Linked DNA regions of Astyanax mexicanus. The protein of the gene in region 1 interacts with the protein of each later gene in a pairwise test. Links are inferred from orthologs where the notes say so. Each region holds a gene or a part of one and is shown in the gene's direction. Other genes may lie near its edges. The genes, in order: phyh and pex7.

Region 1 (12,516 bases):
TCAGCTGCAATAGTTTTATTACCGTATAGGGCTTGATGCATTTTTAAATTTGTGTATAAGGTATTCAAAAAATGAATGTATGTGCATTAGCAGTTATAAAAAATATCTGCATGACCTGAGAACATTTTGCATTTCCTCTAAATGAGCTTTAATGCGTCATTAGTGTGTAGCAATCTTTTGTTTCCAAATGATGAGTTTGACTGGAAGGTCATGGATATAGTATACTAAGGTCATGACCTTAGTAGTTATTGTTTCTAATTCCTAAGAAAAAGCATTTTACATTAAAGCAGTGAAAACAGCTATCATATGAAAATTTGTTCATTCACTTTAGTTGCAAGGCCCTGCTTACTAAATTTATAAAAAGTCTGTATTTGTAATATAATTTAAATTTACAACTGTATAAATAGGTTTGTACTATTATATTCAGTATGGATTTTATGGAAAATGCAATTAAGAAATGCAGTGTTTTATACATTTATTTGACTTTTATCTCATTATAGCACTGTGAACATACAGAATTTGATTAATTTGTCTGGTCAACTTAATTTGGGACAATAAAGCATTTGCCAATTTGTATTGTATCCATTTCTTTTCACAAAACTTTTGGCACTTAAGATGCCAACCAATAAAACGATTCAGGTGTTATCTTGTCCAATTCTTCCTGCAAATATGTCACTATTGCCTCATTTTCAGTTTAAATTTCCCCACACATATAATACTGGGGACAGGTCAGGACTCCAGACAGGCCAAGTCCAATATACACACACCCTCTTCTTCCACTTCCACTCTTTTGCAATGAGTGCTAAATGTGGGTTTGCATTTTCTTGTTGAAAACTCCATGGACATCCCTGAAAAAAAACTTGTGTTGCTCAATGCACTTTTTCTGCATTCTTTGCCACCATGACAAAAATGCACTAACATATCCCATACCATGTAAGATCCAGGCCTTTAGACTGGCATTTCCATTGTGTAATGATCCATCACAGATGCTTGGAACTGTAAGCCATGTAACCTGCATTTACACACATTAGTGGAAGTATGGGTGGTTCTGACTAGATCACTGAACTCCAGTGTGGGACTGTCATAGGATGGCACTGCTGAAACAAGTCAGTTGGTGAAATGTCTTCACAATTACAGGATGTGTATCCCCTCAGCTGTGAGTGGTGTTATTAAACAGTAGAAGTGTTTAAGAACCACAGCATCTCAGCCACAAAATGTCCAACCACACAAAGTTACAGAGTGGGGTCTCTGTGGAACAAAGTGCATTAATAAAGTTAATTAACACTTGTTGACCCAATAAAGTTTCACACCTCCTGTAAAATTTGGACAACATTAATGTTTGTGGGTTTAGAATGGGAAAGCATAAAATACATACTTTTGCCATAAAGTGACTTTCAAAACCATGAAAGAAAAAAAAAGGAAGCTCATTGTGTCTTACATTGATACTGCAATTACTTTGCTTTCGTTACAAGTCAGATAAACCTTTGGACATACTGGAAATTAGACCATACAAGTCACGTCCGGTAAAATGCAATCAAATGATGTCTCCAGATTACAACACCAATGAGCAGTATTAAAGAAGAGCAGCATCTCCTCTCACAGCAGACCAGTCCAACAGTTTAGCAGTAGCTGTGAATCTAACTACTGAAGAGAAGGTGAAGATGAACTCTGCTGCATTTTCCTGTGCATTTTTTCTGCTATTTCTGGGGTAAGGACTCATTACACCTATTTTTTCCTTTAGATTTTTTTATGTGTACATAAATCCAGATGTATGTATAAAATTTCTGTTCATTAAAAGACATAGAAACACACTATTACCACTAACACGGTTATGTACTTTAGTTATTTTTTTTTTTAGATCTTATTCAAATATAATGCAAAACTGAAACAAATAATTAGGTGTACATTTGATTAGGAGGATGAAAATATCACTAACAAAGGACCCTTTTGGGACACTTTTTTCATATAATTACATACAGTTAAATCCCTTTAATATATAAAACAATAACAGATGTGCTATGATGTCTATTGTTAGTGAGGGATACGATGTACTTTAAACAGTAAAATATAATATAATATACAATTTTGTTTTGTTTTGAGGCAAATATCCAGTGATTTTATTTACTGTTATATATTGTGCTTATTTATACCTTATGTTGAAACATAAAATACACAACAAATGTTTCCCAAGAAGATAAAAACTGAAGAAAAATGTAATTAAGAGGGGCTGCATGGTGCTGAAGTATGCTGTATATATGCATCTGTTTTATGCAATGATAATATATAATGGATATAAAATGCATCAATTAAATGACATGCCACGATTCATGTGATAGCAGTCTGTAAATTGATCATGAAGTATTACCTCAAGAAATTACGCGGGAACAGACACACTTGTAAAAGCTGTGAAGTGTTAAAGAGTGAGGCTAAACATTAGTCAGCGTGCTCATGGTAAGGCAACATGACTTATCAGCTTCAAGTGAGACCTGACAGTGGGCGTCCATATCTGTAGACATGTGGGCATTTACCATCCCAAAAACATCTCCATCTATGTCACACATAAAAGGCAATACACAGTGTACAGAACAGTGGGTGGAAATGATTGTGACTCAATCTGTAATTGTCCATGCAAACTGCCAAGCGACTCTGAGAAAAATCACATCTACTTTCTATGCAGGGCACCTCACATGCATATCTCACAGGGCAGTGCAGTGTTCTTTGGTTTCCATGGGCCATGGCAAAAGTCATGGGACACAATACTAGTTCCCAAGACATTTTTCATGCCAGGGTAAAGCATATACACATATAGCACTTTTAAAAAACGAATTTGTTTGCTTTTATATTTCTGTAGCCATTGTTTAGCCTCCAAGCAACAAGTGGACATCTATGAAAATCTCTGGAACAACAACATGGACATTGCCAACAAAACGCTCCATCTCGATTTCTTGGTACAAATGCAGAACGGCAGCCTGCAGGCTGAGCGCTACGTTAACTTCACCCTGCAGGACATCAACTACCTGCTGAAAGTGACTGAGATGCTAAAGCAGATGAGCCAGACGGTCAAACGTCCACATGACCTGAGCGATTTCATGAAAGGCCGATATAATAGTTACAAGAGCTTTGCAGACTCATTCCTCAGCCAGTATTTCCTCAAGGTAAGATAGAGCTGGAAGATACAAAAACAGTTCTTTGAATGTTTAGTGGCAGAATGAAAAACATGATTTTGTATTTTAGTGAGATTAATTAATATTATCAGTTTCCAAGTTTAAATAATGTTTATAAAAATGTTTGTTTAGCCAACAAAAAAGATTTTTTATCCTTTTGTTAACTGTACATGCACCAAGGCTCTTACTTCAGTATTGGCCCATACAGCCTTCCAGCTGGCTTCTGGTACTTTATATTTGCATATTGGATGTGTTTAAGTTATAATTTTGCTTTGACAGGGTTATGTTATTAAGGTTATGTTCATGTATCTCAAACATTTACATGATTGTCTTGACTACAGGCCGCACCACCCATCAGTCCCACACCAGCCATGAAGAAGTATCTGTCTGACTACAATGCAGTGATGAATGTGAAAGATCCAATCTACTTCACTGTGTCTCTCTTGCCCTGCTCCAGGCTTTGGCTCTGGCTAGCTAATAACTTAGACATCCCCAAAACCAATGCCTACTACACATGGAAAGAAGGCAATATGAGTGGCCACCCTGAAAAGCATTACAAGGACATTCTGAACAAGCACCTGAACACAGATAAGAAAGTGCAGAAGGCCAACCGCATCTTCCGAATGCAAATGCAGAATGAGCATGACTTCTTTGCCACCTCTTGAGCCAATTATTAATTAATAGTGCCAAAAAGGGTTCTATTGAGATGATTTAATATGAGAAATATTTTAGGATGCATTAAGAATCTTTCAGTGGGTAATAAAAAATTATATAAATTGGACGGTTCTGGTGTTTCTTCAGCACTGCTGTTACAACGTATTTTTGGCATCCTTATTTTTAAACATGTAAGACCTGTAATTTGGCATACAGAGCCTTTTTTATTCATCTTAAATGTGTAAATATGCTGCAAATGAATAAAACACCCATTACCAGCTTCTCTTGTTTTTCTTGTAATAAATAATCTCATAATAATACAACCAATAATATAAAATATTTTTAATTTAATAATTTAATGATCAAGGTATATTTAAATGAAATATTTAAATATAACTTTAAGCCCCACTGAATAAATAATATAACACGATTTAACAACCTAACTGTGTTTAATATGCGATCTGAAGGTTTCAATATTTCCAATACATGTTCATTTATACCAATATACATGTTTACAAGTAATTATTTTACTAATTTAGAGTAGAAGGGGTGTTATTTCTTGGTTTTGTTTGAACAGATGATAAATAATTTGTACTGGCTGTGGCATAATGTAATGGTATATGTTTAAATATTGAGTTTGTTACCATATTTTCAAAAACTAAGTATCCAGATCATTTTGTTGATAAAAATGTTTATGATTTCAATATGAACAATAGTAAATGGGTTTAATAAATTTTTTGTCAATGTTGGCCCAGACTTGGCTGCTGATATCCCAAGTTTAGGACATCATCAGTCCAATGAAACTATAAAAGGAAACTTAAACTCAATCTTTCTTTCTGCAACAGATGAACATGAAGTAAAAAATATTGTTAACGAATGTAAAAGTAAAATATCTACAGATTGTCATGATATAGATATGGTATTAGTTAAAAAAGTTATAAATAACATTTCAAAACCTCTGACCTATATTTGTAATCTGTCTTTCCAAACTGGATGTGTTCCGAAAAAAAATGAAAGTTGCAAAAGTTGTACCAATCTACAAAAACGACAATAAATATATTTTTACTAATTATAGACCTATTTCTTTACTTCCGCAATTTTCAAAAATTTTAGAAAAATTGTTTGATTCCCGTTTAGAAAAAATTATTGAAAAATTTGAGTTAATAAATGAAGGTCAATATGGCTTCAGAGCCAAAAGAACTACTTCAATGGCTATTATTGAGGCAATAGAAGAAATTACAAATGCATTGGACAGGAAAAGATATGCAGTTGGAATATTCATGGACCTCAAAAAGGCATTTGATACTATAGACCATTCAATATTATTAAAAAAGTAGAGAAATACGGAATTAGAGGAGTAGCAGGTAACTGGATAGAGAGTTATCTCACAGAAAGGGTTCAATATGTGAAAATGGGTAATTATACATCTGAATATCTTGGCATCGCTTGTGGTGTCCCCCAGGGGGCCGTGTTGGGCCCAAAATTGTTTAACATGTATATTAATGATATTTTCGATGTATAAAAATCACTAAAACTAATATTATTTGCGGATGATACTAATATTTTTTATAGCAGTGACAATCATAATGAACTCATAAATACTGTAAATGATGAATTAAGTAAAATAAAAGAATGGATGGACAGAAATAAGTTATCATTAAATTTAATTAAAACAAAAGCAATGATATTTGGTAATGATAAGATTAATTCTGTATTTCAAATAAGCATAGATGGTGCCCCAATTGGAAGTGTAACTGAAAACAAATTTTTAGGAGTAATAATAGACAGTAAATTAACATGGAAAGCCCACATCAGACACATAAAAACAAAAATTTCCAAAAGCCTCTCTATTATGAACAAAGTAAAGCAATTTCTCGATCATAAAGCACTCCGTATACTATATTGTTCTCTAGTTCTCCCATACTTATCATATTGTGCGGAAATATGGGGCAACAATGATCAATGTACAATACAAACACTATTTAAATTACAAAAACGAGCAATGAGAATTATACACAAAGTTGGATTTTTAGAGCCTTTGTTACCGTAACTAGTATGGTTGCCCTTTTACCACTGTTGGTATGAGGGCTGCTTGTGTATAGTATTAGAACTTTCTTTACTATCGCTGTTGGTATCTAGGTTAGAGGATTCTAAGTATTTGTAAATTTAATTTTCTCTGTTGTTAAGTTTCATCTAATGTAAGTCGATGGGAAGTGGCTATGTAAGCTATGTAAGTTATGTTAATTTTGAAGAAAGGGGTGGGTTTAAATAAGTTTTCTTCTTCCCACTCCTTTTTGAGTAGCTGTATTGTATATCTTCTTCTTCTGCTGCTCATAATAAAATATCTCAAAAAAAAAAAAAAAATTCTACCTTTGTCCTACTGTAATGTTGCTGCTATAACACTGTGCACATTTCCCCACTCTACGACTGTGTTTAAGGATTTTAGGCAAACTCACAGTGGATTTGAAAATGAAAAGAGATTTTTTTATAGTTTAGAATTTTAAAATCCTATAAAGTCATTTAAAAGAACATACATTTATTTAGACATTAAGTGAATTTAGTATTTTCAAGATTTGTGTTGATATTATTACGTTACTACATGTATTCTTTATTATTAATGTCATTATGTCTAATCATATACAGTGGAAACTATAGGCTCTTAATTAGGGGTTCTCAACTGGTCTTAGCCTGGGACCCAGATTTTCTCATGGTCATTAAGTCACGACCCACTTTTGTAGAATACAAACCAAACAAATTTATTAAAAAAAAAAAAAAAAAAAAATTTAGACATACCTATGAATGCATAGTGAATTTAAGAGCATCAACTGAGGAGCAACATAACAACTACATGTATAAAAGTTAACAGTTACTACAATAAAATTAAATGGCCACAAAATTAGATATTTCACTTTTCTGCATATCTCTGCATTTATGGTACATTAGTAAGAAACTCTGTCTCTTTTTTTTAATATAAAAGACGATTACAATGTCAGATGAGCAGTATTATTTTATTATTATTATGTATTTATTTATTTATTCTTTTTTTTTGGGGGGGGGGGGGGTAATGTTCTTTTTCAAAGATATATAAAATGTGATTTACCTCTGGTGTAGAATAAACCCTCACCATAACAAGATCATATCAATCTACATAAAATGTTACATCATGGAAAGCGTTTTAGTTTTGTAAAATGAGCTTAATTGCAATATTGTCAGTTATATAATACAGTTCTTATCAGACTGTGTGCTGAGGGATCTGGGCTAAGTGTCAGTGTATCTGCCTGTCACGTACTTTGGTACTTTGTCCCAGTTAGGCTAAGCTACCTATATGTAGGCAAACAGAAGCGCTGGGAGGAACCAGAGAGTGCACACAGAAGCTGCTGTCAGCAGAAGAGCTTATTTTATTTGGTTTTTGGGCTAAACAAGATGTCTCGACGCGCAGCGGACAGGCTGAAGGTTGTCCTCAATCATCTGGACCGCTCCAACTCTGCTTCTGTTGTATCCTTTTGAGCGTTAGCCTGATGGCTTGCTAGTTTAGCAACTTAATGTAGGGAACGCTAGCTGTTTCCTCACAGCGAGCGCCCGGTCTTAGTGCAGCGTGCTGCGTGTTCAGGTTCAACGACAGTCCGAGGCTATGATGGGCCGGTTATGCAAGAAAGGTGGTCCGTTTAGAGAGTTTTCAATGTTTTACACTGTTCTACACAATTTTAAACGCCACTGCTTATTATGGTTTATTTTACGATTATTTTTTTTACGTTTGCAAGCTTGTCATACACTTGTCATGGCTATTTTGTTTAACTTTAACGCATAAAGTTAGTGAGAAATAAAAAGCGACGACACCGCCTGCAGATTATTCACTGCACCGGCAATTCTGTCATTTTTACTGAGTGTGTGTTATTAAACACACACTTCTCCATTGACTGGAGAAGGACTTGACTTTTAATTCAAAAAAAGACCAGAGAAATAACTTACATGTCAACATTTTACATAGCGAGTGAATTCTGTAATTTTCAGGTTCATGGATTTTTGATGAAACATTTATTGCATTTATTTTTCCAGTGTGAACTAATTATCTTTAACTAATAAATGGTGTAATACAGGGGTGTCAAACTCATTTTGGCCGAGGGCCACATTGGCATATTGGCTGTCCTCTGAGGGCCAGATGTAACTTATAAATGTAATAAAATGTAACCAAATGTAATATAAAATGAATGTAATTACTCTTTAATGTTAAATAACTCTAAATGGAAAAAATGTTTGCTTGTTGCTCTATTAACATAAATCCTTTTAATTTGTCATGTTATGAAATCCAAAAACTCCATCAATCAAGAACCAAACTATTCAAGTGAATAGAAATGACATAAAATACAAGTTATATTAACTTTGATCAAAACGTTTGATACTGAAATAAGGCTTAATAAATATAAAATCAAAAATTGTGAGCTGTTAAGAATATGTGATAGATTTAGCATTTCCTCAGATTTAGCAGTTCCTCATCCAACCACTAGTGGGAGCTGCAGCAGCAGCACAAGCCCCCGCTGTCTTCACTGAGTCAGAGCTACAGCCCAGCCACGGGCTACAGGCTCAGCTCAGCCAGTCTGGAGCGTTTTTAAAACATTTTAAGTTCTTCTGTGTAGGAAATAAAGGTTTTAACCCCACTAACCGGATAATACAGCTCTCTACAGCTCATCTTTCAGCACAAGCAGCTAACAGCAGCAGTTCAGAGCAGCGTCACGGAGTCACTGCTCGGATTAACGTTACATTATAAACAGGTCAGTTAGCGCGCTGCTAACCTCAGAATGTTTATAACTACGGAGTTTAGTGCACACACCACGGCTGCAGGGTTAGACTGTTGAAGGCTACTGAAGACTATAAAAGGCTATTGGAGGTTATTGAAAGGGTTATTGGAGCAGAAATCAGTACAGGCTGGTTAGATAAGTGATTCACGTCTTCGTCCTTCGCTGCGGTGAAACTGAATAGCGCTGACACAGTGATGTTTATTAAAATCATTAAAACAGATTTTGTCAGCTATTGTCTTATAAATATTTACACATAACTTATATCTCTTCTAAAAAGCGTTTATTTTGGTCAGTAACACTCTTCGTAACACAAAAGGCATACCATTCTTTCTCCTTGAAGCACAGCCGTCCGTCTGAATCAGCTTCTCTTTTTCTGGACATTATGGGATAAACATTTCACCCGCGAAGTTACGCCTTCCCTCCGGCAGGGTTTCCACATCAATGACTACACTGCCGTGTAGTGGCAGTAAGCCGTAACTTCGCGGGTAATACAATCGACAAGCATTGTGGGAAACGTAGTTTTTGGTCAAAGCACGCTTCTGATCCATTTATTATAGACACTAAGATCTTACAAGCTCTCGCGGGCCACATAAAAGGACGTGGCGGGCCACATTTGGCCCGCGGGCCTTGTGTTTGACACATGTGGTGTAATATGTCCCCATCTTTTTAACCCCCTTAATAGCCCGCTGGACCACAACCAATCTTATATTTATGCTTTGTGTCTCATTACTTAATGTGTCTCATTACCTAATGAGAATCGTATGTATATGAATTATTAATTTATTTTTTTGTTGTTTAATGCTTATGTTGCTTCTCCTTTTATATGGCCAGGATTTATGCTGAATCTTTGTGACTTGTTTGAACTACCACTATGATCAATTTTCTGTAATGTCATCTGTCATATGTTTGATGTAATTTGCATACTTGTATATGTTTACATCTAAATTAATCTAAATTAATATGATTTCTAAATCTTTTTCCTTAACTGCTTCTAACAGCGCTCATCCTTCACTTCATCCCAGGCAGTGTCATATCATCCTCAAACATTACGGTAAGTTAAAATGTTTTAAAACTTGCAAACTCTAAATGAAATCAATATAAAGTAGCTATATAATGACATGCAGCTAGAAATCTCACCAGAATCATTTTTAGGGTGGAGAAAAAGTTTCCTTCTCTTTATGCTGATGCTGTTTTGTTTAGTGTTAAATAGTGCAGGGAATACCCAATAGGGAAATGTACAGTGTGTACCTTATTTAAATACTGGGTACACAGTGTCTGTTAGACTTCCTTCTGTGTTAAGTGCACATAAATGAATAATAGTTATATTTACCTTAATAAGGCATCTCAATGTCACAACTGTTATATTACTACAGGTGGGTAGTCCTAGTAAAAATCCATCCCAGGAACTCCTTGGTTTCCGATCTATATTACATTGTTTTGTATGACACTTATTGTGGCTTCCATTGTGCAGGTACACCTTTGACACAGGTTTCCTGAGTCCAGAGCAGAGGATTTTTTATGAAGAAAATGGCTTTTTACTCATCAAAAACCTGGTTTCCGAAGAGGACATTGATCGTTTTAGGTAGCTATGCCTCGCAGTCTGTTTATTAACACAGTTTGAGTAACTTTGGTAGTATTAATTGTGTACAGGTAATTATTTATATAGGCAAGAGCCTAGGTTATGCCTTTCAGATGCTTTGGCTTATCCAACAGTATATATTTCATTTAGGTCAAATGTTTTTGGTAAGTTTTCCACCTAATTGCACTCCCTTAAGACGAACACAAGGTGGCAGCAACACCCTGCATCGCAATTGTGTACTATACATTAATACTATATGAATATATAATAATTTAATAGTGCAGGTTGGCACCTTAGAACACTCAGTATTCATGTAATGTAGTAAGTAAAGTATTGCTATACAAAAATACATACTGCAGCTTTTTCTGCTGCCGTTTTGCGGCATTGTTAGCTGGCATTTTCTTAGAAAAAAATCAAAAACCCACAAGCTCTGAGAGTGCATTATGGATATCTGAGTATATTTAACTTTGACACTTTAATCTATACAACATAATGCATACTCCAAAACTAGTTTGTATTAATAATAAGTGGTAGTGCCACAAGATTTTACCTAAAACAGCACACACGCACAATAATATGTTAATGCATGCCTCCACAGCTTACAACTGTTACAACGATTCCTCTCACAATGCTCATGTACAGGCTTATTAAATCCGATCTGACCATTCACATTTATATCACATTCCTACAATTTGGATCTGTACACGATGTAGGAACACATATCACAGTGTCTTAGATTTGTTTTGAACAAATCAGATTTGCCATGTTTAGATAGCCTTGAAAGAATTAGATCTTTATGGATCCAAAAGTGGTTCTTCTATGGCATCCCACAAAGAACCATTTAAAATACCTTTATTTTTACAAGTGTATATGACAACTGTGTTTAATAAATCTTATTGTGTGTGTGCCTGCAGGGCAGAGTTTGAGCGTGTCTGTAAAGGAGACGTGAAGATTCCAGGCATGGTGGTGATGAGAGATGTAGCTATTGCGAAGTCTGAGTTTGTGCGTGATCAGAAGGCTGTATCTAAACTTCAGGATTTCCAGGATGATGCAGAACTATTCCGCTACTGCAGTTTGCCCCAGGTACATTCACACACAAACAGGCAGCTAGCTATAAATTGGAATACTGTAAAGTGTGATATATGGCTCCATATTTTAATAATAAAACCTAGCAGGCTGAGACAGGCCAGCAGTGCCTTTATCCAGCTATATGGAGAAATGTTGCACTGCAACAGATACTTGTGTCTGTTACAGATTCTGAAGTATGTGGAGTGTTTTACTGGCCCCAACATCATGGCAATGCACACAATGCTCATTAATAAACCCCCAGATGCAGGTAAACACACACCTAAATATGAAGTAGACTATACCCAGCTGTACTTTCTGGTAGTGATATTTGGTTATGCAGATCTATTAACTAGTTTGTTTTTTAAGTAAACTTGTATACACTGTTAGAATTATTTGCACAAAGATAGGGTTTAAAGAGTTGTTTTTTTCTCAGGAAAGAAGACATCTCGTCACCCCATGCACCAGGACCTGCACTACTTTCCCTTTCGCCCAGTCGACCACATTGTCTGTGCCTGGACTGCCATGGAGAAGGTGAACCGACAGAATGGCTGCCTGGTAGTGCTTCCTGGAAGCCACAAGGGCACCCTTCAGGAACATGACTATCCAGAATGGGAGGTGAGAGGAGAGAAGGAGGTGTGACAGAGCTGTACTTGAGTGAATGTTAAATGTGTGCGTGTATATAACTATAGATATGCCGATAGATAAATGTGCCATCTTCAGTCTCTGCAGTTTCCATGGGGTGTTGTCCTATTTCCAAATGACAAAACATTTTAATCAAAATGTTCCTTTCTTCATGTTCTTAACTCTACTAAGGGTGGTGTAAACAAGATGTACCATGGTGTTCGCAACTATGATCCAAACCACCCGAGAATGCATGTGGAGATGGAAAAAGGAGACACCTTATTCTTTCACCCTTTGCTCATCCACGGCTCGGGAATGAACCAAACACAGGGATTCCGGAAGGTCAGGACTAATAGGTTCACACTAATACATTATATGTTTTTTTTGTTCTTCAATTTAAATATCTAATAGAGGTATATTTTAAATTATCTACCAAAGCTATAATAAATCTAATGAGAATCTGTTTAGGTTATGTTACTTATGTTACCATGAAGAGGTCACTTTAGTTTATACTGCTTGACTTGTAATAAACTGAGTCAAATTAAAAGATTGATTGCGTTTAGTTGGTAAACTCTGTCTAGGTGATGCAATCTGGTGCACTGCAAGTGAGACATTTCAGTCTGTTTAGCAGTAA
Region 2 (11,645 bases), on another chromosome or scaffold:
CACCCGCTGCCCCAGCTCAAGCACCGGCAGCACCCGCTGCCCCAGCTCAAGCACCGGCAGCACCCGCTGCCCCAGCTCAAGCACCGGCAGCACCCGCTGCCCCAGCTCAAGCACCGGCAGCACCCGCTGCCCCAGCTCAAGCACCGGCAGCACCCGCTGCCCCAGCTCAAGCACCGGCAGCACCCGCTGCCCCAGCTCAAGCACCGGCAGCACCCGCTGCCCCAGCTCAAGCACCGGCAGCACCCGCTGCCCCAGCTCAAGCACCGGCAGCACCCGCTGCCCCAGCTCAAGCACCGGCAGCACCCGCTGCCCCAGCTCAAGCACCGGCAGCACCCGCTGCCCCAGCTCAAGCACCGGCAGCTCCCGCTGCTACAGCCTCAGCTCCAGCACCGGCAGCTCCCGCTGCTACAGCCTCAGCTCCAGCACCGGCAGCTCCCGCTGCTACAGCCTCAGCTCCAGCACCAGCAGTGCCTGCCACCCATGTGGTACCCACTGCTCCTGACCCTGCACCCGCGGCCCCGTCCGCCTCTGACCCTGTACCCGCTCCCAGAACTTTGTTTGCCCCCAGGCCTGCTCCTAGGCCCCCGGATAGTACCCCTAGCACTGTGCCCAGGCTGGCTCCCCTGACTTTGCCACAGACATTTCCTTGGACATTTGCCAGTCCTGGGCACCCTCCTGTGTTTCTGGTCCCTGTGTCTCTCCCTGTTTCGGTCCCTGTCTCAATTTGTGTCCCTGTACCCATCTCAGTCTCTGTTTCTGTTCCTGTCCCCGTCACTGTGTTTGTGTCCGTCCCTGTAAATGTATTTGTTCCAGTTCCCCTGTCCAGTTTTGTCCAGCCCCCTGTCCAGTCTCAGCCCCGTGTCCAGCCCTGTGTCCGGTCCCCTGTCCAGTCCCAGTCTCCGTTCCCTGTCCAGTCTCAGTCTCCTGTTCGGTCCCCTGTCCAGTCTCTGTCTCCTGTCCAGTCCCCTGTTCAGCCATGTGTCCTGTCCCCGTCCCAGTCTACATTCCAGTCTCCGTCCCATGTCAAGTTCCCTGCCTGGTCTCCGTCTCCTGTCCAGTTTCCATTCCCTGTCCAGTCCTCTGTCCAGTCTCCGTTCGTGTCCCCTGTCCAGTCCCTGTTCCCTCTCTCTCGGCGCCTCTGGTAGTGGCGCCGTTGAGGGGGGGTTATGTTACACCTTAGCCCATGTCTGTCTTCTGTTTCTCCCTCGTTTGGTCTCTTGTGCTCCTGCCCCTCTGTTTTCCTGTCAAATGTTTCCCAGCCATGTGCTTGTGTTGTTGTTTTTGTACCTGTCTCCACCCTAGCTCCGCCCCAGCCCTGCCCTAGCTATTAGTGTTCTCACCTGTGTCTTGTCTGTAACCCCGCCCCCTCGTCATCCTAGCCCAGGTGTTTCTCACTCTCCTCATGTATTTAAGCCCGTCTGTTTGAATGTTCAGTGTCGAGTCTTTTGTATTTTGTATCCTTAGTAATCTTTGTATCCGTTGTATCTTTGTATCCTTGCCGTTCGTTTGAATCCTCGTCTTCCGTGCACTCTGATTTTGTGTTCCTAGTTCTAGTTTATCCTTGCCTTGTTTTCTTTGTAGTTTTGTGCGTTACCCGAGTTTTGTTTACTGTTTTATTTTATCTTGTTTGTTTAATAAATAATATATATTGCACTTACGTCCATCCCTCCGTCTCCCGCGTTACACACTGGTTAGCATCATGCATTCCCTCATTTTTACAAACATTTTTTGCATAGTTCAATAATTCAGATGGAAACGTTTAGAGTCATTCAGGGTTTGGGTTTTTTGTGAAAAGGTTTATTCTATAGAAACATATGTATTTACATTACTGATGATGAATAACATAGTTTTACCATGACTTAAACACAGATATATTCATTTTATTTACTGTCCAAAAGTCTTCATCTATCCATTAGTCTTATATGTCTTAAATGTGAACAAATATGTTTTCCTTGGGGCCTGCATGTAATTCTCATCATGAATGAAAATAATGTGTTTTAGACCAAATCAAAGGTTATCATAAAACAAAAACAGTGCTGTGGGCATGATGCATTATTTCATGTAATGACGGCTTTTTATGCAACTTTTCAGACGTCTAATCCATCCACCAGCAATGTGAACAGTTCTGATTCAGTACGTTTCTCATTATAGAGACATTTTGAAAGATTATAAGTATTTTTCCAAGTAATGGTAAACACACTCTATATGCACACTGTGTGATATACTGTTATCTATAAAGTACAATACATCAGAAAAGCAGCAGAAAAGTTGTGCCCACAGTTGTGTACATTTTTTCAGATAAACTTTAACTGGTGCTCTTTATCGTTCTTTACCTATTAGCTTATAGAGTATTGCTGTTACAGTGTAAGGCTAAAAAAAAACAATTAATCGACTACAGTTTTTGAGAAAACTTGCTTATTTTAAGTTTAAAACATCTCTTAATAGAAGTCTGTTTTATTCAGCTTCTCTTGCTTTGATAATGTTTTAGTTGGCACACCTGTTGTCAGTTAATTTCACTTGTGAATAAGAATCAAAAAGACACCATTGAATGTGACACTGTGTCACTGCATAAAGTACAGAGGGAGAAAACTGGCCTTTAGAGCAGGACGTACGCAGCCGTTTAGTGAAGCGCAGGCCTCAAAGTAGGAACATTGAAAAGCATGAAAGCAAAGCAACAGCGCTCGCTCCTCCTAAAGACGGGGCTCTGCGCCACTCTAATCCACTCTCTTTATGCTGCGGCCTGTTGGGCAGTTTTACATTAGTAAATCACTGTCACACCATTAAATTCCTTCCTTAAATTCCTAAAAGGAAAAGTATCAGCATTTCCAAGTGAATAGGGATTAGGGCAAACAGCGGCTGCTGCCCACCGACGTGCATGGGAACGGTGTGGGGGCCATAAATCCGGCAGTTATCTGCTTTAGAGCTGCTGGTCCCAGCCTTTGAAGTGGCCCTCCATATATCAAAGACGCACATGATCTGCCCAGAACATCTCACAGTCAAAACCCAGAAGCGTGAAAATGACAAGCGGGCCTCATGCTTTTCTTTATAGTGAACACATTTAAATGAGCAATAAATAAACAAAAAAAAAAAACATAAATATTTATAACTTTAATGAAATAAACATAATATATTTTATGCTTTATGAATAAACAAATAATGATAAAAGATTAAAAGATTAAATTATGAAATATCTAAATATCTTTTTTAATAAATAAATTCACTATGTGGACCAAAGTACTGGGACACCTACACATTACAGGGCTCTGTGTGGGCTAGTTCTTCACCAAATATTTCTCACACCAGACTCACCCAGCAATACATCCTAGACCTTGCTTTGTGCACTGGGGCACAGTCATACTGGAACAGCAAAAGACCTTTCCCACAGAAAACACTGGGCACACCTACATTTTACATCTACAGGAGCTTTTTACAAGATTCTGTAGTGTGTCTGTGAGTATTTTGGCCCGTTCCTCCAGGAGATCACATAATGCTGGACAAGAAGGCCTGGCTTGCAATCAGTTCTAAATGATCCCATTGGTGTTTAAAGGGGTTAAAGTAACCCAAACTTCAAGTTCTTTCACACCAAACTCACCTAATCATGACTTGGACCTGGTTTTGTGTACTAGGGCACAGCTTTACTGAAACAGAAAAGGGAATTTTCCCAAACTATTTCAAAGATGTATGCACAATTATTCAAAATCTCATGGTATGCTGAAACACTAAGATTTGGTGTGGTGAATATCTGAATTCTTGTAACTTGGCATATGCTGTACTTTACTCGAAATTGACCGTCTTAAGGAAAATTTTCAGAGAACACTGCAACAACAAAAACATCACAAATAAATACATCATATAGCAGGAGTATTAAATAAATTGACCACATTGGGCTGCTGTGGCTGCATGTTTTCATTCTCAACAACCAGCACCTGATTCCACATATTTAATGAGCGATAACTCACTGACCCTTTGTGGATAATGTTTGACACCCTGACCTAGAGTGCTAGAAATACTTTAATGCAAAAGTAAAACAAAGCTTTGTGAAGCCTGTAGGCCAGCCCCCATTATGGACTCAGGGTGTAGTGAAGCATGATACAGGATGCGCACAAATAAGTAGAACAGGGAAACAGATTGCAAAATGAATCCTGTGGAAATACATCATATTAAGGCAACAATATACTCGAGGTTCATGCTATAACATGTAATATTGGCACTGCTGTGCTCGTAGACATGAGGTTGCAGGCCAAGTGCCATAGATCAGCACAGCAGTGCCAAAATTACATGTTACACCTTGAGTGTATTATTGCGATTATACCACAGTTTCATTATCGCTGTTTATTAAAAAAGGGTACCACTTTAAAATAAGACTACCTTTATAGAGGGTTTATAAATGGTTTACGATTAGTTTATTAATGGTTATGTAAATGTAAATGCCTTAAAATAATGAATAATCAGTTATAACACATTCGTAGAAAGGGCAACAATATAGATGGTTGTGGGTTCACTATTTGTCAAACAACAGGTCATTGTTGCCCTTTGCACGTATGTGTTATAACTGATTATTCATTATTTTTAGGGCATTTACAAACCTTTTATAAACCCTTTATAAAGGTAGTCTTATTTTAAACTGGTACTGAAAATACAATCTGTTTGTATGTATAAAAACTCTGCGAGTTTAAATAGTTTCATTGCTGCTCGGCTGGTAAGCGTTGTATCGTTGCTAGGTTACCTGTATGTGGCGGAATAATACATGGAGAGCTTTGGTTACAGTGCATTACCAGCTGATAATGGCACTCACAGAACGATTCTCAAACAATTACATTGCAGGGTCAGAACTAACTGTGGTATAATATATAATATATTAAATACTTGCCAACTCCTTTTACACCAACTCCAGTCCAAATATAAGTCCAAATGCAAGTATTCACATGACCTTTTAAGGGTATTTTAGTTTGTGCTCCTCAGTCGACTTATTGAGACTTCATTTCTAGATGATGTGTGTATAAAACGTGTTGTTTATAATAAACTTCTAGTGCTCAGTGACTCGGTTTAAATATCATGGTCCTCAAAATTGTACCAATGAAGCTTTTTTGAACTTGTTATTGATGTAAAAATACAAATGTCCCTATCCCTAGCATTGTAAGCTTGTTGGGAGCATCGGCCAAAAGCGCTGTATTTTAGAATGCTGAGGGTGAATGGAGGTGGGCTATTCCACAACAGTTGGTACTCATTATCATGTTCCACTACACAACAAGTCCATTTCACACCAGAGTTTTCCTTCAATTGTTGGTGTAGTAGTGTGTAGTCATTCAGGTAACATTCTCCTGGAATTGTCCAGTATCAGTGTGCTTTACTCCACTTCATCCAATGTTTGTCCAGTCATGAGAAGAATTCCCGCAAATAAACACAATACCGCCACCCTGTGGAGAAACTCCTATGTGCAGCATCACATTGTCTCTCATCATTAAGGCCTTTGTGATATATTTGACAGCTTTCCAAAATTACTCACTATTTGACTTAAATTTCTTTATCTGTTTTAGAACATAGTGCGTGATAGTACGTTGTGACAACATTGTGAGCACCAAAACAATAGGTTGTCACAACGTGATTGTGTTTTCTAAAATGACATTGTCAGATAATGCACAAAGGAGCATGGTTGACTGTAATTTGAAAACTTGTTAAAAGGTAGTGTTATGACCAAGGCCATTATTAGGCCACTCTTACCTAATAATGACGTGTTTTGTGGCAAACGCTGATGATAAAACATAAACAGTAGGAATGAAAGAAAATTGAATTGTGATACTTTGTTTTCCAATACTGTATCGATTTTTCAAAACACAGAATATTTTTTATCTTAGTAGATTACATTAATAAATACAAATATATCCAAAGGGGACGATTTATTATATGCAGGGATTATATCTCTAAATGTTTTGCCTCTATCAGAAAATCCCTAGAGAGGAGTTTACTCACTTTGAGAATGTTTCGAAACTAGTGTCAGACACTAGAGGGCGCTCACGAGTGAGTCCAAAATAATGGGTTAACATGGAGCAAATGAGCAAAATCCTAGTTTATAAAAATTATTTTCATGCTGAAATTACTTATTTTATCACCACAGAACAATATCATTAACTATTTAATGACCGAAGACATATGTTTAAAGCTTTTAAACTCTAGTTACTCATATTTTACATGTTCTCTGGCTGTTTTATTTCAGCGTCAGCTCACCACCAGATATCTAACAGTAGCAGTAATGTTTGTCAAAAAACATTTTCTGTAGAAAAACATTCACGTAGGTGAATTTGCTTTTTTTGACAAAGTGTGTCATTCTACTTTATAAAATTAAGCAAATTCTTTTTTATATGTTTTAGACACTTTTAAATGTGAGTTTTTAAAGCTCCATTCAGCCCTTTTAATTTTGCACTCACTGGCTGGTGCCCTCTAGCGGCTGACAGTAACTTTATACTCCTATATAACAGGGTGACAGGGAGTGGGCAGGTGTTCTGTCGAGTTGTGCTACTCACAGACATCATATATATATATATATATATATATATATATATATATATATATATATATATATATATATATATATATATATATATATATATATATAAGCACAATATATATTTATATATATATAAGTATAAGTATAAGATGTCTATGGTGCAACTCATCGATATGCTTACCACCCGTGCGCCTTTTTCTAAATGATACAAACGTATAAGTAGAGAATAGAAAATAGCAATAATAAGCAATTAAAAATACAAAATATGTTTTTCTAATCACGTCTCATTACCTTAACTTTACTTTTTTCATACGGTTAGTTAGGTAGCTTATCCAAATATCCTGTTGGAAGCATAGTGTGCTTATTTTTTATATTTATACTTAAATATTCACTAGGGTAGCACGATTTGACAAGGTAGCACAATTCGACAGGAATTTTTTATATATGTTGATGTATTTGAGACTAGTGTCGCTAGTATATAATGTGGTCTTAAGGCCAATCAAAGAGCTCGGTGTTGGTTCCAGTGTCAGCAGGTCCACCAATAGGAGAGGACCTTTATTCGCTGCTGTGATCAAAATACGGAAATGTATCGCTACTGCATGTGAGGAGAGACTGGTGCAGCTTCTGTTCAGATTTTCTTTATTAACTGAATCTCTGTGCAGATTAAACTCCTGTAGAGAGATCGGGTCGGGGTTTAATGATGAGGTGAAAGTCGGGGTTTAGTGAAGACTGTCATCTTACTGAGATTAGTGGGGGAGTTTTCTGCTGGTAGTAAGTTTAGGTTAGCTGTGGGAGAGAGGAGTGAGCTGTAGAGGTGGAGGAGTGAGTGAATGAGGGAGGGAAGGATTGAGGGAGTGAGTAAGGGAGTGAGTGAGTGGGGGGCTGAGGGGAGTCTTTTCTCAGTATGAAGGGGTTCAGGTGTTCAGCTCGACACGGTTATGCTGTGGAAGTCTCCCCGTTTCTCCCTAACAGACTGGCGTGTGCTACAGCTCAGTATTATGGGATAGCAGGTAACGAGCTGATCCTCTATCTACACTGTTTATATTAACCTACAGTCTTACAGCACCAGTTGGCTTTTACACAGTGGTGCATGAAGCATAATTCACAGGATAAAAATCTAATTGCTTTAAGTTAGGTCACTAAACCCCTTAAAATTTCTGCCTGATATTACATGCCTATATCTTTTGAAGCTTAAAAATAAAAAGGATTCATGTTTGATAAGAAACGTTACTGAAAATTGAAATAGGAATTGAAAATTAAATCTGGAGCAGTAGAAATGTATTCTGTGGAGTGACTAATCACTCTTCTCTATCTGGCAGTCTGATGGGCGAGTCTGGGTTTGGCAAATGCCAGGAAAACATTATTATCCCTATTGCACTGTAACATCTGTAAAGTAAAAATAAAAAGTTTTTGGAAAGTAAAAATAGTAAATCTGCACAAATCATCAAATTTACACTTTCCTAAACTTTAATTTTAAACCAGTATTTTCCTCAACACAAATAAAATATATAATGCCCTCCAAAAATTTCATTTCATTATGGCTGTCTAGTTTTTATGTCTATTTTCCAATATTTGAGGTTGGTTCTTCGTACTCTGGAATTATTAGTAGAATATAAGAAAATGGACAGGCAGCTTCTGCAAGTCTCCTGAAGGATTCTCTAAAACCCTCAAAGTTATTAGAATGCAAATAACTTATTTTACTGCGGAAAAGAAGTATTACCTACACTTGTTTATTTTATATGATTTTATTTTATTTTGTTTTTTGGACAACTAGCTGTTCTTAAGGTGGATTTTTAGCAGGGATGTCATGTTTCTTATTTTAAAATGGTACTTTGTGCTTTTTATTGTTTGTTTTAGGCTGTGGAACGCTGTTTGTGCTGGAGCAAAGAGAAACTGATGTTCAGCTTCTAAGAAGGTACAGTAAGGTTTACCTGTGTACTGCTGACACAATTAATCTGATCAGATGTTTTGAAAGACATACCTTTACAGTCAAATGTTTGGACAAACCTTTTTTCTCATTCAATTATTTTCCTTTTAATGTTTTTTTTATATTGTAAATGTAATATTGAAGATAATAAATCTATACAGGAACACATGCAAATTATTTTTTAATCAGTACCAGAACATGTTTTATATTTAGATTCTTGTCTTCGTGAGATAGAGTCACCTGGAATAGTTTTCTCTAGAAATACCTAAAAAAGTTGAATTTATCAGTCATCTTATAATAAAAAGAGTGATCAAAGATCATGTAGTAACAGTCCACTTCCGTCTTATGTTAAAGATATGGACAGATTCTTTACTATTATTTTTACTCTGAAATCCTTTGGAAACAAGGGACATTAGGAGAGGAGATGCTCAGTCTCCCTTTGCTCAGGACTATAATGCAAAAAATCCATTACTTTCAACTCACAATGATTAAAAGAATCTTGATTATGGAGGTGTGTGAGCTTCATCTTTTTTACAGGAAGTTTTGTTTGTTTGTTTTTTATGTGCAGCTTTGACTGGAATGATGGGCTCTTTGACGTGACGTGGAGTGAAAGCAATGAGCACGTGCTGGTTACGGGGGGCGGGGATGGGTCACTACAGATTTGGGACACAGCCAACCCGAAAGGTCCAATACAAGTCCTGAAAGAGCACACACAAGAGGTAAAGTTTCAATATGCAGACAGCAAACTCCATCACAAGGACAATTGCTTAATTTCTTTGTTAGTATAGTTTTGAATATGTATTCTAAATTGTTGGACCAAGTCATTGTAAAATACAAACAATATAGTTGTGAAGTATAACAGAAATTAAATTAAAGTTTAATACAACTGTGTGCACAAAATTAATGTTCTATTTGTTCTTGGTGGTAATCCAGGTTGTATTGACATTTAATAAAAAATATCAAAAATGGCATTGATCCAGAATCCCTGTATTGGTGCTTCCCAAATTCATCTCAATAATCCAGATTTTGTCAGTTGGTGCATTTCTAGTTCCACCCTGTATGTCATCTTTGTCTGTCTATACTGAGTTACATCCAATTTCAGGTTATTATTTCTTGAATTTCTGAAATCAGGTCTATTCAGTGGATTGGAGTCAGACACGGGGGGAAAACCTGGTGGTGTCGGGGTCGTGGGATCATACAGCCAAAGTAGTAAGTGACACAGTGAATGTTGGTATTTGTAGATGTATTTTTTGTAATTCTGTGTTATTGTAAAATTGTTGTTAATTGTTGTAAATTAAGGGTCATTAGATTTGAGTTGGTATAAATGATGTTATTTTAGTTAGTGCATCTTTTCTGCCACATTTGCCATGAAGTGCTATATTTCTGATATTTCTGTTATTGTATTAAGTGAATTTTTAGAAGCTGCATTTATAACACAATGTTAATTATTTTTTAATTATGTGTGGAGAAAAAAAAGAAACAGCACATATATTTTCACCTCAAAGCAGCTACATTTAAAATAATTCAGATGGAAATTCCTGATTGGCTTAATATAAAATCCCAGATTATGTTCAAAGGCTTGGCATAGTCACAAGGTATACGTAAGCTCTGCAGTATATGAACTGCATTTAGTCCATGTGTAGTAAAATATGTTTCTTTACAGTGGGATCCAGAACGCTTCCAGTCTGTGTGTACACTGCAGGGTCATGAGGGGGTTCTCTACAGCACCATCTGGTCCCCACACATATCATCCTGCTTCGCCTCTGCTTCAGGTAAGGGTAATAGGAGGTTTATGATTCTCTTGCATTTGAAATATACTTATTATTTTAATGTGATTATGAAAGAACGGGCTATTGCCTTACTTCACCTTTTATGAGTGAACAGGTTGTGTTCTTATGCCAGTACTGTTCGAACCTTGTTCAAAGTAAGTGGGAAATGTACCCCAGAAACTTTGTTTTCCAGACTGTTAACAGGGGCCAGGATTTGTTGTTAGTTTACAATGTTCTGATTGTCTTCCATGTATTGTTTCTCGAATAAAAAGCAGTCTAGGCTTCAGCATTGCTTTACTTCAGTGTGAATGGGTGCTGCTGAACAGCTGTAGGTTGAAAATGCACTTATTAAATACTTTGTTAGGAAGACTACACTAATACCATGTAGGGCCTCCCTTTGCTCAAAGCCTCAATCAGCCTGATATTAATTTCACAAGATGTTAAAAACATTCCTTTGATATTCTGGTCCGTGTTGACATGATTGTCGAAAAGTCTTCTTGTAGATTCAAATATCGTAACTGGGAAATGCCACTTGTTGAACACTGAGTTCATTAAACCTGTTGAGATGGCTTTTTTGTGATATTCTGTGACATAATTCATCATCATGCTGGAAGTAACCTCTGGAAGAGTGATGGAGTAATGAAGCAGTAATTTTAGTAAGTCAAATTAGGACTGAGTCTTACTGAGTTTAGATTTGTATTAGATTTAAATTTAGATATAGCGATGTTGATATTTTAGCAGTAGTATTAAAATAAACTGTCATTTGGAAGATGATTGATTATTTTTGTGCATGGATTCATTCTACTGGTACCAAGTCCCTTCAGGAGTACCTACAAAATACTGAGTACATCTGTTACCTATAAGAACGTTTTTGGACAATATATTGTTCCAGTAATAATCAGGATTAATTATATTATTGTTACTTTAAGACTATTTTATTCCACTGATATCACAATATTATAATGGCATTGTTATGTTGTTCCACACTTTTCACATCATTTAAACCTGCTTTGCTACATTAGGACCTGAACAGCTTACAGTCATTAAGGGGAACATGAATACCCAAGTTTATTAAAAAAAATATGCAGGACAGTGTAAGAGTGGCTGTACTTTTGTACTGAAATTGTAGACAAGTTCGGTAATGCAACAGGACAATGACCCAAAACACCAGAGCAAGTCCACAGTAGAATGGCTTAAGAAAATCAAAATACTTATTTGTAGTGGCCAAGTCACAGCCCAGATCTCAGATGCTTTGGTTTGATTTGAAGAGAGACGTACATTTAAGATGTCCAAGAATTATGGCCGAGCTAAAGCAGTTCTGCCAGAAAGAATGGGCTAAAATTCCTCCTGAATGATGTGCAGGTCTGAGCCGCAGCTACAGGAAGTGCCTGGTTGAGACTATTAAAGTTATTTATGACAAATTTGTGCAGAAAAACATTAAAAT

The links.
Region 2: the proteins of phyh (region 1) and pex7 interact in a two-hybrid assay, tested with the Homo sapiens proteins (2 studies listed by BioGRID, with this or other methods). The link is inferred for Astyanax mexicanus from reciprocal best matches to the Homo sapiens genes PHYH and PEX7.

What each region holds. Positions count from the first base shown.
Region 1 is NC_064409.1:12,377,049-12,389,564, reverse strand, and holds the start of phyh (phytanoyl-CoA dioxygenase, peroxisomal), read left to right. Parts: upstream 1-7,082; 5' UTR 7,083-7,241; coding exon 7,242-7,313; intron 7,314-9,612; coding exon 9,613-9,665; intron 9,666-10,085; coding exon 10,086-10,196; intron 10,197-11,107; coding exon 11,108-11,276; intron 11,277-11,447; coding exon 11,448-11,529; intron 11,530-11,694; coding exon 11,695-11,876; intron 11,877-12,074; coding exon 12,075-12,224; intron 12,225-12,516. Other genes in the region: uncharacterized protein si:ch1073-67j19.1, read left to right, coding at 1,662-1,708, 2,852-3,155, 3,506-3,829. UniProt on the Homo sapiens protein: Catalyzes the 2-hydroxylation of not only racemic phytanoyl-CoA and the isomers of 3-methylhexadecanoyl-CoA, but also a variety of other mono-branched 3-methylacyl-CoA esters (with a chain length of at least seven carbon atoms) and straight-chain acyl-CoA esters (with a chain length longer than four carbon atoms).
Region 2 is NC_064408.1:82,754,443-82,766,087, forward strand, and holds the start of pex7 (peroxisomal biogenesis factor 7), read left to right. Parts: upstream 1-7,063; 5' UTR 7,064-7,409; coding exon 7,410-7,515; intron 7,516-8,362; coding exon 8,363-8,420; intron 8,421-9,000; coding exon 9,001-9,151; intron 9,152-9,563; coding exon 9,564-9,641; intron 9,642-10,095; coding exon 10,096-10,204; intron 10,205-11,645. UniProt on the Homo sapiens protein: Receptor required for the peroxisomal import of proteins containing a C-terminal PTS2-type peroxisomal targeting signal. Specifically binds to cargo proteins containing a PTS2 peroxisomal targeting signal in the cytosol.